Linked DNA regions of Diceros bicornis minor. Each later gene encodes a partner of the first gene's protein in a complex. Links are inferred from orthologs where the notes say so. Each region holds a gene or a part of one and is shown in the gene's direction. Other genes may lie near its edges.

Region 1 (7,296 bases):
CACAGAGGACAGACGAAAGCCAGCCCCAAACCAGGAATTAGCTAAAGGTAAAGGTTTCTTTTTAGTTTCAATAAATCACATGGTTTGGCCAGCAAGCCCAGAGGTTTTTAGAGAAACAATGTATTCCATGAAAGAAACAACAGCAACAAAAAACAAAATTTACTAACTTTCCCTCCAAGGACTTAATAGTCACAGTTGTCTTTTTTCTTGTTTTAACTTGGGCCATTTCTCACTCATGGAAGAGTGCCCATCCCGGTCATGGCACCCAGGAACCCTCAGTGCTGTGCTGCAGTGCTGGGGCCTGTGAGATTGCCGAAGCTCCCTCCTCCTCTCGCCCTACCTTTGAGACTCAGGTAAGGCCTGGGTGCACAGTGACTGCCAATTTGGAGGGGTTCTCAGTGACCCTGACTATGCCACGACACACTGGTCAAAGCCCTTTGATTCGATGCTTTGGTGTCAGATTATAGTTCTGCCAAGTTGTGTGACCTTGAGTGATATAGTTAACATCTCTGTGCCTCAGTCTCCTCACCTGTAAAATGGGCATGATACAGGATTAGTAATTCCTCTTAGATACTCATGAAAGCCGAGGTTTGCTTTCAGGCTTGACACTGGCCGTATAGTAGTCCCCGGAGACCCTTAATAACAGTGGGCTCAGGTGGGAAGAAGTGTATGAAGTATGTTGGTAACCAAAAAAACTTCAGTAGTTCTTTCCAGAATATTATGCTAGAAAACGGGTCAGCCTCAGAACCCAGATTAATTGCTTAGGCAGGACTTTTCAGTTTGGCCCAACAATCACCACACAAGTGGTCTAGTTCCCATGTGTGCCCAACCCTGGAGGTGGTGATGTGAAGGCCCAGGGTGGCCCAGGTAGTCCCCATGTGGACTGGTCAGTACAGATCAGTACGGACATTATAAGGTTATGTTATTTAAGTTATGTGTGTGTGTATAATTCAAATACTAGATGTGGTAGATAGAGTAATGCCCCCCAAAGATGTCCATGTCGTAATCCCCAGAACCTGTGAACTTTGCAGATGTGATTAAGTCAAAGATCTTGAGATGGGGAGTACTCTAGGTTGTCCAGGTGAGCCCAGTATTGTCACAAGGATCCTTGTAAGAGGGAGGTAGGAGAGTGAGGGATGTGACATAACAGGTTGGAGTGTCACAAGGCCCCGGAGCCAAGGAATGCAGGTGTGCTAAAAGCTGGAAAAGGCAAGCAAACAAGTTTCCCCGGAGCTTCCAGAAGGAACACCACCCTGCCCGCTGAGACTGACTGTGGGCTTCTGACCTCCAGAACCGTAAGAGAATAAGCCACCCTGTTTGTAGTAAGTTGCTACCGCAGTGATAGGAAACTAACACACTAGGTCAGTTCAGAAAGGAGGGGAAGTATAGTCTAGAGCAGAGTTTTTCAAATTGAGGGTCAGACCCCGTTAATGGTTGTAAAAGTCAATTTGAAAATGACACAGAAGAGAAAAGAACAGATTTTGCATTGCCTGTAGTAAGTGTTGTTTCAAGATGCTTATGTTTCAGATATATGTGGGGATGTGTACTAGGTCGCAGTAGACATATCACTGTGAGTTGTGATCAAAAGTTTGAAAGCCACTAACGTAAAGTCAGTCACCTGAGGGGGCTCATGAGGAGGGGTGCTTTAGCCCTGCCTTGGATACGTTACCGTGAGAACAGCTAACCGCCAGGCACCCTGGTGAGCAATTGATAGGCCTCAGCTACTCACAACAACTCTATAGTGTTGGAACTTTGCCACATTTTAAAGATGACAAAACTCAAGTCCAGAGAGGGAAGTGACAGCCTCCGTTGGAACCGTGGCAGTCTCTCCAGAGCCCCAGCGCTAACCGCTAAGTCTCCTCCCTACTGGGGGAGGGCAGGGAGTGGAGGTGCGTAGTGACCAAGCCCAGTTCAGTTTGCCCAAGCTTGGGAGCAGAGAGATGTCATTGGAACTGATGGGAGGGGACCCCTCTGACAGTACCCTATGGGGTTTCGTTGTAGACCTGAATTTCTCAGTGAACTGACACATAAAGCCATGTGGCTTGGAACGGGGTGTGCCTCAGAACACTGCCCCCATCAGAAGACTGCCTCCTGGAGCAGGACACAAGTTCCTGGCCTCAGCTATGGTGGACCCCTTCCCGGGCTTTGGCCACCTTACAAATATGTGTGGCCCAGGGAAGGAGGCCCAAGGGTTTCCCCTCTTCCCTCCTGCTCACAGGGATCAGGTGGCAATCCCTTGATCCCAGGGAGAGAGACCCATGGTCCCCGTTCTTGGTGGGAACATGCTGAGACAGAAGAAGATGAAGCTTTCCTCCCTGGTCTCCTGCTGCCTTGGCCAGTGCACCACTTCCTAGGCCAGATGCCTGGAGTTTGGCTGCCATCTTGTGACCAGGAGGCAGTAAGGCAGTGCAGTGAGGAGGAAGGAGCAGAAAGCTGGAAAGAACCTCGTGACCTGGAGACGCGACCAGCCCCCTGACTACTACTGACTGCCCTCCTCCAGGTCAGCCAGCCCTGCAGAGTCTGCCTGGGTGTGTGGCTGCATTTCTTGGAAACCTGAGAAGGCGGAAAGAAGGGGGAGTGTAGCATCTTCATCCCAGGGCACCAGGGGAGGCAGATTCCAGGAAGCAACAAAGCTCTCCAAGTTGTTCTCAGCACTCCAAAAGAAATTCTTCCACCCCCAAGCTCCCCTCACCCAAGGAGTTGTTTCACTTAAGGTTTAAAAACTTTGTCCCCCAAGGGAGCCATTTCAAAGAACATCCCCCATGGCTTCCCGGTCTAAGGTGTGCTTTCCATCCATTGGGTCTTCCCATAATGACCGCAGGCCTGTGAGGGGGGGCGGGCAGCGCTTGTTATGAGTCAGCCTCGCTTTACAGCTGCGGAAACTGAGGCACGCAGGACGAAGGACTTGCCTGAAGTTATACTGCGGGGTTAAGTGGCAGAGCCAGGGTTGGGTACATGTTCTACCACCACCATTCATTCATTCACTCACTCATTCATTCAACAGATGCACACTGAGGGCTTGCTATATGCCACACGCGCTGCTCTAGGCTCAGGGGAAAGCAGAGCAAACAGTAAAAGAGTTTGCTCGCCCTAAGCTTCTGCATCGTCTTTTCATCAATCAACTTGCTTCACTTCAGTTTTCACCGAGAAAAGCGAGTCCCCAGGTGAGCACATTGGTCAGGATGCTTTACTGAGACTAACAGAAAAACTCAACTCGAACCAGCTTCAAAAGTAAAGTAGGTTCCTTAGCACACGTATCCGAAACCTCTGGAGGCAGATTGTGCTCAGGCTGACTGGTCAGAGGTTGACCTGGGCTCTGGTCATTTCTCTGGGATTCTCTCCATCTGCGCTCTAACCTTGTCGTCTGGCTTCCTTTGTGGCTGTTACACTTCCCTGTTCAGATTCACGCACCTCACCCAGAGGGGCTTCTTTCCCCTCCATCATCATCAGAAGTCCTGGCCTCCTAGGGAGAGGGGCCTGATGAATTGAGAGGGTGCAGGGTTTTCACCAGGGTCTCCTCCATCTGCCAGGCCACTTGGCCACATCTCCATTGATGAGGCAGAGGGTAGGGATGGAAAGACACCCGCGGCCACCTGGCCCAAGACCCAAATTCAAGTGGCTGCAAGCAGCCAGGTAACTTAAAGGAGTGAAGGTGACCGCGGTGGAGTAGAGGGCCGAGAAGGCAGCACTGAGAGAACGTGCTGGGCCAGCCAGAATCAGCGGGGCGGCCAGCGTGCATGCCTGGCCGGGCCAGCATCCTGGTTTTGTAGTGAGGATCCAGGGCGGGGCGGGCGGGGCGGGCTGCCTTGGCCACGCCTTACTGCCTGCACCGGGTTTGCACTTTTAGCGCCTGGCGGGTATCAGTTTGCGAACGAAGAGATGGTTCCCGCGCGGCCGGGGTCCGAGGCCTGCAGAGGTTCGCTAAGTTGCTCAGTCGCCAGCGTATGAGCGCAGAGTCCGCCGTCCCCGCGGTCCGGCTCAGACGACACCGCCCTCCCGTCCGGCGCTGTCCACTCTCGGTGGGGGGTGGGGGGTGGACACGCGCCCTGCCAGGCTCCCGGTCCCCGCCCAGCTGCTGCTCAGGCTGTGCACCCCTCTCTGAGCCTCAGTTTCCCCGTCCATAAAGTAGTGCGGAGTGGTCGTGGACGATTTCTGCGCGCCTTGGGTCTGTGCAGCCCGCAAACCCGGAGGGGTGGGCGGGGCCTTGGGTCTCCCGACCGCTGCCCCTGGTCCCCGCCCCGGTCCCCGGGGGCCTGGCTGGGAGGCCCCGCCCCCCGCCCACGAGGAAGTGGCTGCGGCGCCGCGCGGGGCCCAGAGCCGGTTCGGCGCGTCGACTGCCCAGAGTCCGCGGCCGGGGCGCCCCGAGGTGAGGGGGCGCGGGGGGATGCGGGGATGTGAAGGGGCGCGGGAGGGGGCGCCTGGAGCTGGGGGGACGGAGGGGGAGGCGGGGGTGAGGGGGTGCCTGGCGGTGAGAGGGTCGCATGCAGGTGGCGAGTGCGCGGGGGCTGCCAGGAGATATGGGGGTGGGGGCACGGGGCGTCGCCTGGAGGTGCGGGGACCAGTGGGCGCAGGTGGCGGCCGCGCCGAGGGTGGGCGGTGGCCTCCGGGCGAGGGACGCGCAGGGGTCCCGGCGCCCTCGAGGCGGCCCCCACCCCCGGCCCCTCTCCCTGTCCCCTCTCCGGCCCTCACATCCCGACTCTGCCCCGCGGCCGGTGTCCCCCGTTATTTCGGGCCGCGAAAGCCCCACACCCAGTCACTTCCCCACCCTCCAGCCTTCCGGGTTCTCCAGCCGGGAAATGAGCTGGCGCCCCCGCCCTCCCTCCGCGGCCACCGCCTCCCCCCTCCCCTCCCCCCGCCCGCCTCCCGCCCCGGGCCGGGTCCGAGGGGTCCGTGCAGGGAGGGGGCGGCCGGGGGCCCCGGGACGGGCGCTTCTGAGCTCCCGGGCGCTGGCCCCGAGCGGCCCCTCCCTCGCCTGCGGCGCAGGAGAGCAGCCGGCCTGTCCAGGGCTGGGGCGGGGACAGTCGTACACCCACCACCGGCGGGAGCCCCGGGAGCGAGCCTGGTGCGGTGCGGGACGCCGGGCTGGAGGCTGTCCCCGGGCTCCTCCCGCCTGGCGGGCGGTGCTCCCTCGTGGTTAAGAACACCCATCGCCCTTCAGGTCTCAGGGCCCTAGGTAAGAGCGCCAGCTTCTTCCTCCACCAGCTGATGACCTTAGCAAGCCACCTAACCTCTCTGGGCCTCAACTTTCCTTATCTGGAAAATGGGGACCTTTCAAGTTGTGAGGCTTAAATGTGGTAATGTAAGACACTTGGCAGTGTGCCAGGCACACACTGTGAGTGTGTGCTATTAGTGTTGTCGCTGTCATTGTAAGGCCTGCCCTCATTTAACAAAGTGCCCAGGTGAACCTAAACTCCCGTATTTCGGGTCAGAATCCAAGCTGTGCCATTTAGGAGCTGTGTGACTTTGAGCAAATCTTGGCTTTTGTCTGAGTCTCACTTTCCGTCTGTACAAATGAAGGTTGAAAAAAACACAAAGCAAAAAACTTCCTAGGTTTGCTTTAGCAGGGAAAAGAGAGAATGTCCAAGTCCTGGGTAAATCCTAGGCATTTAAAATGCCAGTAGGGTTAGTTCATTACATATGGATTTGTATATAATCCACATAGGTCTTTTCTAATAGTTAAATAGTATCCCAGCATGTTAATGTCACTAGTTACTTTTTCCATATTTGTTGTCATCTGGATTTTTCCACCCTGTCACCACTATAAACAGTTATTATGAACATGTTTGTTTTTTAAAAAAAAAAAAGTGGCTCTTAGCACCGAAATGAATTTATGCAACCAAAGAGTGTTAACAGTTTTTAAGTTCCTGTTCGTGTTATTCTGTTCTGCTTGTTCCTACCCAGTTGTTGAATTGAGAGTTATCACATTGCTCTTCAGAAAGGCTGCACAAATTAGCAACAAATGAGAATTTCTCCACAGCCCTGCCAGCATTGAGTTTTATGTTTTTGGGTGTTGTTTTGTTTGGATTACTTTCACTGGTGCTTTATGGTGCCTTGGGATTGTTTTCATTTATGTCTCTTGACTTGACTTTGCCTGTTTTGTAAGCCTTTAAGAGCAGAGTTGGGGAGGAGGATTGGCTGGTCTGTTTGGGGTGGCAAGGGCTGCTCTGCACACAACAGGAAGTTGAGTAACTGCTTAGCACGCGTGCAGACTGGCTTGCTGGCTCAGCCTCTGAGCTGGGTGGGGACTTCCCTGAGTGTCTGTAGAGCCAGAGATCCTTGCTCCAGGCTGCTCCTGCCTGGTTTAGCCTCAAATTCAGCCAAGCCTCTGCGTTCAGAGAACACTGGCAGAGCTTCTTTCAAAGCAAGAACAAACCTACAGCCAGTGCCCTGTCCAACTCCAGCCTTTTCTGGATGGAGATGTGAGGGAAGTGGTGGCCAAGGGCGCCCGGCCAGTATGGAGAGAGCCAGAACTTGAACCCGGCACTGTAAGAAGGAGCACTGAGGTCTGAGGCCCTTGGCGGGGCAGCCCAAGGCCTCGCCTGGCTTGCTTTGCTGAGGAGGGGAGCTGTATTCTCCTCGAATCCTCAGAGAGGACCCTCTAGATTGCAGGTTTTCTAATCATTGACCCTATCAGGGAAAAAAATTGGTGCACATACTCCCCGGGAGATATTTACAAATTGCATACATGCGTCACTGAAGCAATCCTGCGTATTCCTAAGACAGACCCAGCAAAAAGGATGTGATTCATTCGTTCAGCATCATTCCAGAACTATTACTTGATTGCCTACTGTGTGCCAGGCCCTCTGATTGGTGCTGGGGATGCTTCAGTGAACAAAACAAACACCCTTGCCCCCATGGAGCTGACATCCACATCCCAGTGCATGGTCTATGGCACTCCCAGATGGAAACCCAAACCCCCTCCCAGCCATCATGCTGCCCTTCTCTGTCCCCTTGCACCCCAGCCCCAAGCGGTCCTGGTCCATTCATTCCAAGCACCCACTGTGTGCCTGACGCCAGGGAAGTGCTCCTGGGAGCACAGAGAGATCCTGGCTCCAGGCTGGTGGGGGGTGGCTTGGAGCCAGCAGGGGAGTCTGTCGGGATTTGGCCCCTCCCCTCCCCCAGTCTCACTCTGTTTCCGGGTTATGGGGGCACAGAGCATGATCCTAACATGATCCCCAGGGCCCCCTCCTCTCTGTCCTCAGCAGTCAAATGGGCCCATGGTGCTGGCTCACAGGACCGTGGTGACAAGTGGGTGGGTGTCCCGGAGGCCTTGTCCTGCCCCTCTCTCCACCCAGA
Region 2 (7,762 bases), on another chromosome or scaffold:
GCTGCAGGAGGAGGGAGAGGAGGTCCCGCTGGGCTTCCGAGGGCAGCATTACGCCGGCTCTCCAGGGCCTGACATTCCGGCCCACGGATCCCCTGAACGGCACTTAAACGGACTCCTCCTGAAGCCACCTTGGACAATCCACAAGTGCTCCCGATGCACCCGTGTCCCCCACGTCCAAAGGGCCGTGGGCCGGCCGCGGTCACTTACATCTTGGAGAGCTTGGACGCCGCGCCGCCAGTCACTTTGGCGACGCGCAGCTGCGACAGCTCCACCTTCAGGTCGTCCAGCTGCTTCAGCAGCTCTTCCTTCTTCTTGCCGCGAAGGTCTCGAGCCTTAATCTTGGCCTGCGCGCAGGAAAGGGACCGGGTCAGACACCTCGCGGGCCGCCCTCCGCTGCGCCCGCGTCGTGGCCAGGCCAGCGGGGCGCGCGCCTCGCCCTGGGCCACGAGCGCGCTGGGGGCCCAGCATCCCCGCTAAGCCGTGCCTTGAGTAGGGCCACCGAGGCCCCGGTATCCCCGCTCGCCCAGGCCTACCACGAGGCTGGGCCGCCACCCCATTCCGCAGAGGGGAAGACGGAGGCACCGGGAGCGCGCACCCCTCCTGGCCCAGGCCGGCTGTGGCGGCGCCAGGCCATTCCGCAAAGCGCCCCACAGGCCCGGCCAGCAGATGGGACCCTAGGGCTCACCCCGCGCCCCCGACCCCAGCCCCTGAGCCCGACAGCGCGCGGATGGCGTCCGATTCCCCAGCTCTCACCATGGCTACACAAGCCGCCGCCGCCGCCGCCGCCGCCGCCTGCTCCGAGGGAAAGAGGAAGGGGGCGGGGCCGACCTCCGCAACTACTGCCGGGTGGCGGCGGGCGCAGCCAATGGCGCCGCGGCGGGGGAGCTCCGGCTCCGCCCTTGCCACGCCCCCACCCCCGCCGCCGGCAGCACCGTGGTACCGCCCGTCTGGCCCCGCCGCGAGGATACCGAGCCCGTCCGTAGCGCCCGCCTCTTCCTCCTGCACCTGAGATGACTTAGATCGGCCTCACGCCCTGAGCAGCGCACTTGGGGAAACCGAGCCCCGGGGTGAACGGCAGCTTTCCGGAGATGGCACAGTGAGGACTCGGATTCGTCCATTCAGTCATTTATTCGTTCATCCATTCATTCGTTCATTCCGTAAACCTTTGCAGGTCGCCCAGTCCGTGCTGCTCTGAGCTGGGCGCCGGTGTTCTGGGGAATCAAGGGGATGAAAGTTTTCAAAGATGAATTAACACGGCCCCTGCCTTGGAGCAATTTAAAGTCCGAGGTGGGCGGGGAGGGGCGGGGTCAGACAGCTATAATCCAACTCTTTAAACGTTCTGGTGGAGGCGGCAAGTGGCAGCGAAGGAGCATTCTTGGCCTTTTTTTAGTGAACCCGACCGGGTTTCAAAGTCTTGCTCTGTTGCCGGGTACAACTGAGACTCGGCAAAACCCCTCCTCTCTCGAGTCTCAGTTTTCTCACCTGTGAGATGGGGTATTGATGAGGATTACGGAGATAACATGTAAAACTCTTAGCACAAGACCTGAGGCATAACAATGCTCAAAATATCATCAGTTACAATGTTCCCACTGGAATGAACGCTTGAGTTGTGCCCTGAGAGTTAAAGGCAAATTCATGAAGCAGGGAAGGTGCTCAGGCTTTCTGACTGGGCGGTTTCATTGTTGCCCCAACGGGCAAGCATGAATCCATGCTCTAGTGTCACTCCATTAGCAAAGACATGCCAACACCTTTTAGAGCTCTAGTTAAAGCCAGGTTGTCCCCTTGTTGGTGTCGGGTGTCACCTCCTCCAGGGAGCCTTCTCCCATCCCCAACATATGGGATTCTGTTAATGGACCTTAGTCTTGGACTAAATTGAGAAACGACCTCCCTTTGTGTCCCAAGCTTTCTGTGCAACCCTCTCTTTAGCCCCAAACATACTGAATTAAAATGATGTTTATGTGTCTGTTTCCATAGCCAGCCTAGAAGTTCCCTGGGGGCAGAACTATGGCTGACATCTGATTTGGTTTTTCCTTTTTTTTTTTTTTTTGTGAGGAAGATCAGCCCTGAGCTAACATTCATGCCAATCCTCCCCTTTTTGCTGAGGAAGACTGGCCCTGGGCTAACATCCATGCCCATCTTCCTCCACTTTATATGGGACGGCACCACAGCATGGCCTGACAAGCAGTGCATCAGTGCGCGCCTGGGATCCGAACCCGGGCTGCCAGCAGCAAAGCGCCGGCACCCAACCTCTATGCCACAGGGCCGGCCCTGATTTGGTTTTTCTAGTCTCTAGGCCCAGCACATGGAGGCTTCTTGGATGAATGAATTAATGAGCGTTGCCCCAGACACAGTGAGGCAGGCTTCCAGGAAGTGGAGGGATATGGGAAAGAGAGGGCAGACAGAGGGTATTGACATGGATTATTAGTCTTAAATGGAACTTGAATGGTGCACAGGGACTCTGCTGTCCTATCTTCCAAATGCTTATAATTCTATTAGAGCTAATGATCGTGTAAGTCTTTTCTGAACTTGAAGTCATCTGTGACTCCCGTTTCTCTTACAGGCCACATTCAATCCACCAGCACATTTGGCAGCCTCTACCTTCACAATATACCCGACCTCTTCCCACCACTCTTTGTTGTTTTTTATTGTATTTTATTTTTTGGTGAGGAAGATTGTCTCTGAGCTAACACCTGTGGCAGTCTTCCTCTATTTTTTGTATGTGGGATGGCGCGACAGCATGGCTTCACGAGCACTGTGTAGGTCCACGCCCAGGATTTGAACCCCGGGCTGCCGAAGTGGAGCGTGAAACTTAACCAGTATGCCACTGGGCCGGCCCCTTCCCACCACTCTTATTGGCACCTGCCTGGCCTGAGCTAACAGGCCTGACACCATTGTGTCACCTCTTAAATCACCTATTTTGGCTCTGGTTCGCATACGTGTTCTCAGCACAGCTGCTAGCAGGACCCTTTTCAAACTTAAGTCAGATCATGTCACTGCTCTGCCCATAATTTCCAGGGCTGTCCCATTTGAGTTAAGACCACATCCTTTCCTCAGCCTACCAAGCCCTACAGCATTCCCTCCAGCCCCCACTTCTATCTCAACTCTTCTCTCTCTTCTGCACCAGTAAGGCCTTGCTTTTTCTGGAATACACCAAGCCTGCCCTGCTTCTGGGCCTTTGCTTGGCTCCCTCCTTCACTTCCTTCAGGTCCCTGATCAATGTCACCTCCTCAGGGACACCTCTCTTGACCACTTTAGCTAAGGTACACCCAGGCTCTGCATGGTTTTTTTCCCTCAGCATGCAGTCATCCTTGTCATAGTATAGTTTGGATTTTTAGAATTCTGCCTCTGACTGGAATGGAAGTCCATGGTGATAAGCAGGGACATTATTTCATTCACCAGTTTATTTGGGGGCTATTTCTTTATTTGTAAAATGGGCTTTGCTGGTTTAAAGTTCCTTCTGGCCAGGATGTTCTCGGGATATGAATTTCTGCTGTCTTGTGGCCTGCCTGGGTCACAAAGATTTCTTCCAAGGTATGGAGCTGAAAGACAGGTGGGCCTTGTCTATTTTCAGGACCCCCTGAGACTTTAATTCAGCACCTATTTCCCCCTGTAGGAGTCTGTATCTTTAGCACCCAAGATTAGGTAGCATCATAGTCTGGCAATATTTTTGACCTGTAGACAGTTCAATGAGAAGTATTCGAAGCAATAAGAATGAATCACATTTCATTAACTACCGGCCTTTATTAAAAAGAGTACTATTATATGAAAACAAAGACTCAATTTAGTCGAAGGCTAAGGACCATTAACAGAACCCCTCAAGCAACAGCCCAGGCACCTAATGGTGGCAGTAGAGTCGCCTTTGACTCTGCCCTACCTCCCCCCACCTCCATCTTGCCCCATCTCAGACTCAGGGGATTCGGCTTCCTACCAGGATATGCCTCTCCAGCCTGGCCCGACGTCAGCCCCAAGGACCTCGTCCTTCCTGCCAGGATGGTGGCCAGAGTCATCTCCCTCTTCCCGCCGCCCACCCGCCCGGCCAAGGTGTCTGCTACACGCCGCACCCTCAAGTCCAAATGTCTTCATAGTCTTGTCAGCACCCTGGATACCCTTTAAACGTCTATAAAGTCTCCCAGTCCGTTAACAACAGGGTCTCTGTGTACAAGGCAGAGGCTGCCTCCTCGGAGCTCAGTGTAGTGGCGTTCAAGGCTCCCAAGATCCAGACCAGGCTCCCCCACCCCCGTCACTCCTCGGGGACTAAGAACTACTACTCATCCCTCAGGCCTCAGCTCGAAGGTTTCTTCTCCAAGAAGCCTGCCCGGCACTCGACACGTAGGGCCGGCCGCCTTCTCCTGGGCCCCCGGCCCCTCAGGCTGGGCAGTGAGGCCCCCGGAGTCCGCGGCCGTGCCCGCGCCGGCCCTTCCAGGGGCTCCTTGGACGCAGGAAGGAAACCGAAGAACGAGCGCAGTTACGGCGCCTACGATGCTGGCTGGGGCCCTCTCCTCGGATGGGAAGAGGGGAGTGCAGCAGGCTACTTCTCCAGCCCCTCCAGTCGCTCCGGAGGCGCCCCCACAGGCCCCGCCCCTCCGTCCCACCGGCACTTCCGGTTCCGGCGTGGGCCGGAAGTGGGCGGGCACGGCGGCTGCGCGCGGAGGAGGAGGAGGCGGTGCCGGCGGCCGCTTCCCGCCCCCGAGCCGGAGCCGGTGCTGAGCAGAGCCGAGCCGAGGTCCGGCCCGGAGCGGAGCCGGCTGAGCGGGCGCCGAGCCCCCGCCATGGCCCGGAACACGCTGTCCTCGCGCTTCCGTCGGGTGGACATCGACGAGTTCGACGAGAACAAATTCGTGGACGAGCACGAGGAGGCGGCGGCGGCGGCGGCGGCGGCCGAGCCAGGCCCGGACCCGAGCGAGGTGGACGGGCTCCTGCGGCAATATCCTTCCCCGGCGCGGCGGCCTGGGCTCCCCTGTGGCCCGGCCTTCCCACTTCCCTCCTTCCCGGCTCCGGTCCCGTGGGCCGGCCTCCCCACTCCTCTTACCCCGGCCCGCTCAGCTCGGTCTCCCAGCTCCCTTCCCATCGGGCTCCCCTCTGGCCAGCTCCCCTCAGTCCGGGTGTCCCCTCTTCCCCCTGACCCGGCCTCCCCCTACCTCGTCCCTGGCCCCGGCCCCCAGAGCCTCCCTCAGCAGCGCAGCCCCATGCGGCCCCTAGACCCTGGTGACCGGCCCGCTCGGCGGCCCCGGGAGCGTGCCGGACGGCCTCGGCCCCGCACTCCTCCAGGCCTCTTCTCTGTTCTCTTTCTTGCTTCTTCATCCTCTCAGGCTGTCCCTTCTTTGGGGGCCCCGTCACTCCATCCCTCGCTTGCAGGAAATGGGGGCATTCTCGGGCTTGATCGGCGGGAGGGGCCGAGGTGAGCCACCGCTGAGTAATTGAGCGGCCGGGGCGGCTCCAGGGCAGCCCTCTCGCGCTGGATTGCAGCACCACACGAAGATGGGTGGGTGGATGGGGAAAGGACCCAAGGGGGAGCGCAACCTGCAGCGTTAGTCCAGCCCTGAGGTCTGAGCCTGTGCTCCTCCCACCCCAGAATCAAACTGACCCTCCAGCTTGATGCCACTCTTTGTCGCCCATTCTTGGGCTTTGGACCTTCATGGTCTCATCCACGTTCAACAAGTGAGTTTTGGCTCCCTTCCCCCTGCTACCTTTCTTGTGCAGGAAGCAGTGGAAAAAACTAGTAGTTTAGAGCTAAGAAAAACCAGAGTCAAGTAAAATGTAAAAGTAGAGCCCCACGCCTGCAAATGACCTTTCTTGTGGCCACAGAAAACAGCGTTTAGAAAACAAGATTAAAAATAGAGGTGGTTGTCACAGCCTGCTTGGTCCCTTAGCAGTTTGAGCACAGGAAACTGACTTATTCTCACAGGAAGGATTTTTCTTGATTCAAATGGTGTTACAGGAAGCGCCCACCCCTCCCCCGCGCTCACCAGGGCAGGGTTGGAGGCTCCTGCTGTATATAAAGCAGGTTCTGGGTGTTTAATCAGTTGACTCAGCTTGGGAAGGCAGGCCCAGAGACTGGCTTTGGGAGGAGTCCTGCAGTGTTCTTCCAATTTACCTTTAAAACAAAAACCTTCTGACTTTCTTTCTTTGAACAGGAATGTGTTGTCAAAGGTGGGGATTCAAACTTGTATTTCCTACCCCATCAGGATCACCTTGCTTACCCCACTGGCGAAATGGGGTCATGAGAAGGGCCCCCACGAGAGAAGGTTGGTTTTGCAGTCTGGTGCAGGACCTGGCTCGTGGGCAGGCAGTGCCAAATGGGCTCCAAGTTCAGGCCTGTGGCCCAGAACCATCCGCAGATGGGGAGAACAAGGTCTGGTTACCTGCTGGCTTGGTCCTGGTGCTGTAGGGACTTGAAGGTCATCTCTTGGTACGCCCCTGACTAGTGATAGTCAGGTTCCTTGAGGCTGCTTAGCACATCCAGTAGATGGTAGTTTCTCCACTAATGGCAGTGTCAGAAACCTTGTTACCATGGAGAGTGTACCTCCTGGGATTGGGGAAAGGGAGGTTAGCACGTGAGAACTGAAATTCTGGCAAATGTGGGGCCTGGGGAGGAAGAACTAATACTTACTGAGTCCCTACCACGTGGTATTGGACTCACATTAGATCGTTGAATTTAAACTATGGAACAGACTTCTAGGAGTCTCAGGACAGAGGCAAGGGAAGTAGGGATAGGGGGTGGTTGATTGGAGTAGGGGAAGGTAGGGAGGAGGTCTGTCCTAGTGCTGTATAGGGAAGCAAGTCCTGGTGGGAGATCACACAGAAGCAATAGAAAGAACATGGGCCATGCATCCACACAGACCCAACTCTATCAGGCTCTAGCTGTGTGACCTTGAGTAGGTCACATACCCTCTCTGAACCTTAGCATCCTCCTCTGTTAAAAGGAGGAGAACCATGCTGGACTTCGAGGTTCCATGGGAGCATCGCTGGGCAAAATCCCAGAAGGCTTCTGCACAGTGCTGGGCACACAGCAAGTGCCTGGACGTGCAGCTTGCGTCTGTGGGTGGAGCGGCAGCAGGGCTTGTAGGAGGAGCTTGGTTTTTGGAGTCAGGCATATTTGGGTTGAAGGCCAGCTGGACAGCTTAGCTTTGTGACCTTGGGCAGGTCATTTCCCTTCTCTGGGCCTCAAATTCATTGCCTTTAAAATGAGAATAATGATTCTTGTCGCAGAGTTGTTAGCAGTAATGAAGTAACACATCAGAGCACCTGGCACAGGATCTGAGATCTGGTAGGGATTTTAAAGTATTAGTTCCTTTTCTTTGCTGAAGCACCTTCTGGTGCTCTGGAGCAGCGATCTGTCCAGAGCAGTGGTTTGAGTGATCTTGCGGAACTTGGTGCTACTGGGATCTAATGGGTAGAGGCCAGGGATGCTGCTAAATATTGTATGTTGCACAGGACAGACCCCACATCATTCATCTGGTCTGAAATGTCACTAGTGCCGTGGTTGAGAACCCCTGATTTGGAGGAGACTAGGGGCTGGGCAGGGTTCCCCAGCCTCCACAGCCTGTTCTCTGGAAGGGCCTAAAGCCAGCTGAGTACAGAGGCCAGCTTGATAAATGGTGTGCCCTCCTGCTCCCCAGCTCTCCTGGGCTGCTGAACGCCCTTCCCCATCTGCACCTGCAGTGAATGCTGGGTACCTGGTGCCAGAGAGAGGTCACTAAAGCAGTGACTCCTTTTGCCTCCTGGACCAGTCGTTCTCCCCTTCCCCATCCATCTTCAGAAT

Evidence for each region.
Region 2: the proteins of ARPC1B (region 1) and ARPC5L are in contact, whole or in part, in a cryo-EM structure (PDB 6YW6), measured with the Homo sapiens proteins. The link is inferred for Diceros bicornis minor from reciprocal best matches to the Homo sapiens genes ARPC1B and ARPC5L. Residues at the interface, in NP_005711.1 of Homo sapiens: Arg118, Lys138, Arg142, Phe164, Ser201, Gly203, Trp204, His222, Asp223, Ser224, Thr225, Leu240, Ala241, Ser242, Glu243, Thr244, Leu245, Pro246, Phe281; in NP_112240.1 of Homo sapiens: Asn21, Lys22, Arg102, Gly139, Leu140, Gly141, Ile144, Arg145, Thr148, Arg150, Lys151.

Annotation. Positions count from the first base shown.
Region 1 is NC_080765.1:7,312,768-7,320,063, reverse strand, and holds the start of ARPC1B (actin-related protein 2/3 complex subunit 1B), read left to right. Parts: upstream 1-4,271; 5' UTR 4,272-4,366; intron 4,367-7,296. UniProt on the Homo sapiens protein: Component of the Arp2/3 complex, a multiprotein complex that mediates actin polymerization upon stimulation by nucleation-promoting factor (NPF).
Region 2 is NC_080767.1:33,364,091-33,371,852, forward strand, and holds the start of ARPC5L (actin-related protein 2/3 complex subunit 5-like protein), read left to right. Parts: upstream 1-4,695; 5' UTR 4,696-4,769; coding exon 4,770-4,924; intron 4,925-7,762. Other genes in the region: RPL35 (large ribosomal subunit protein uL29), read right to left, coding at 208-344, 754-756. UniProt on the Homo sapiens protein: May function as component of the Arp2/3 complex which is involved in regulation of actin polymerization and together with an activating nucleation-promoting factor (NPF) mediates the formation of branched actin networks.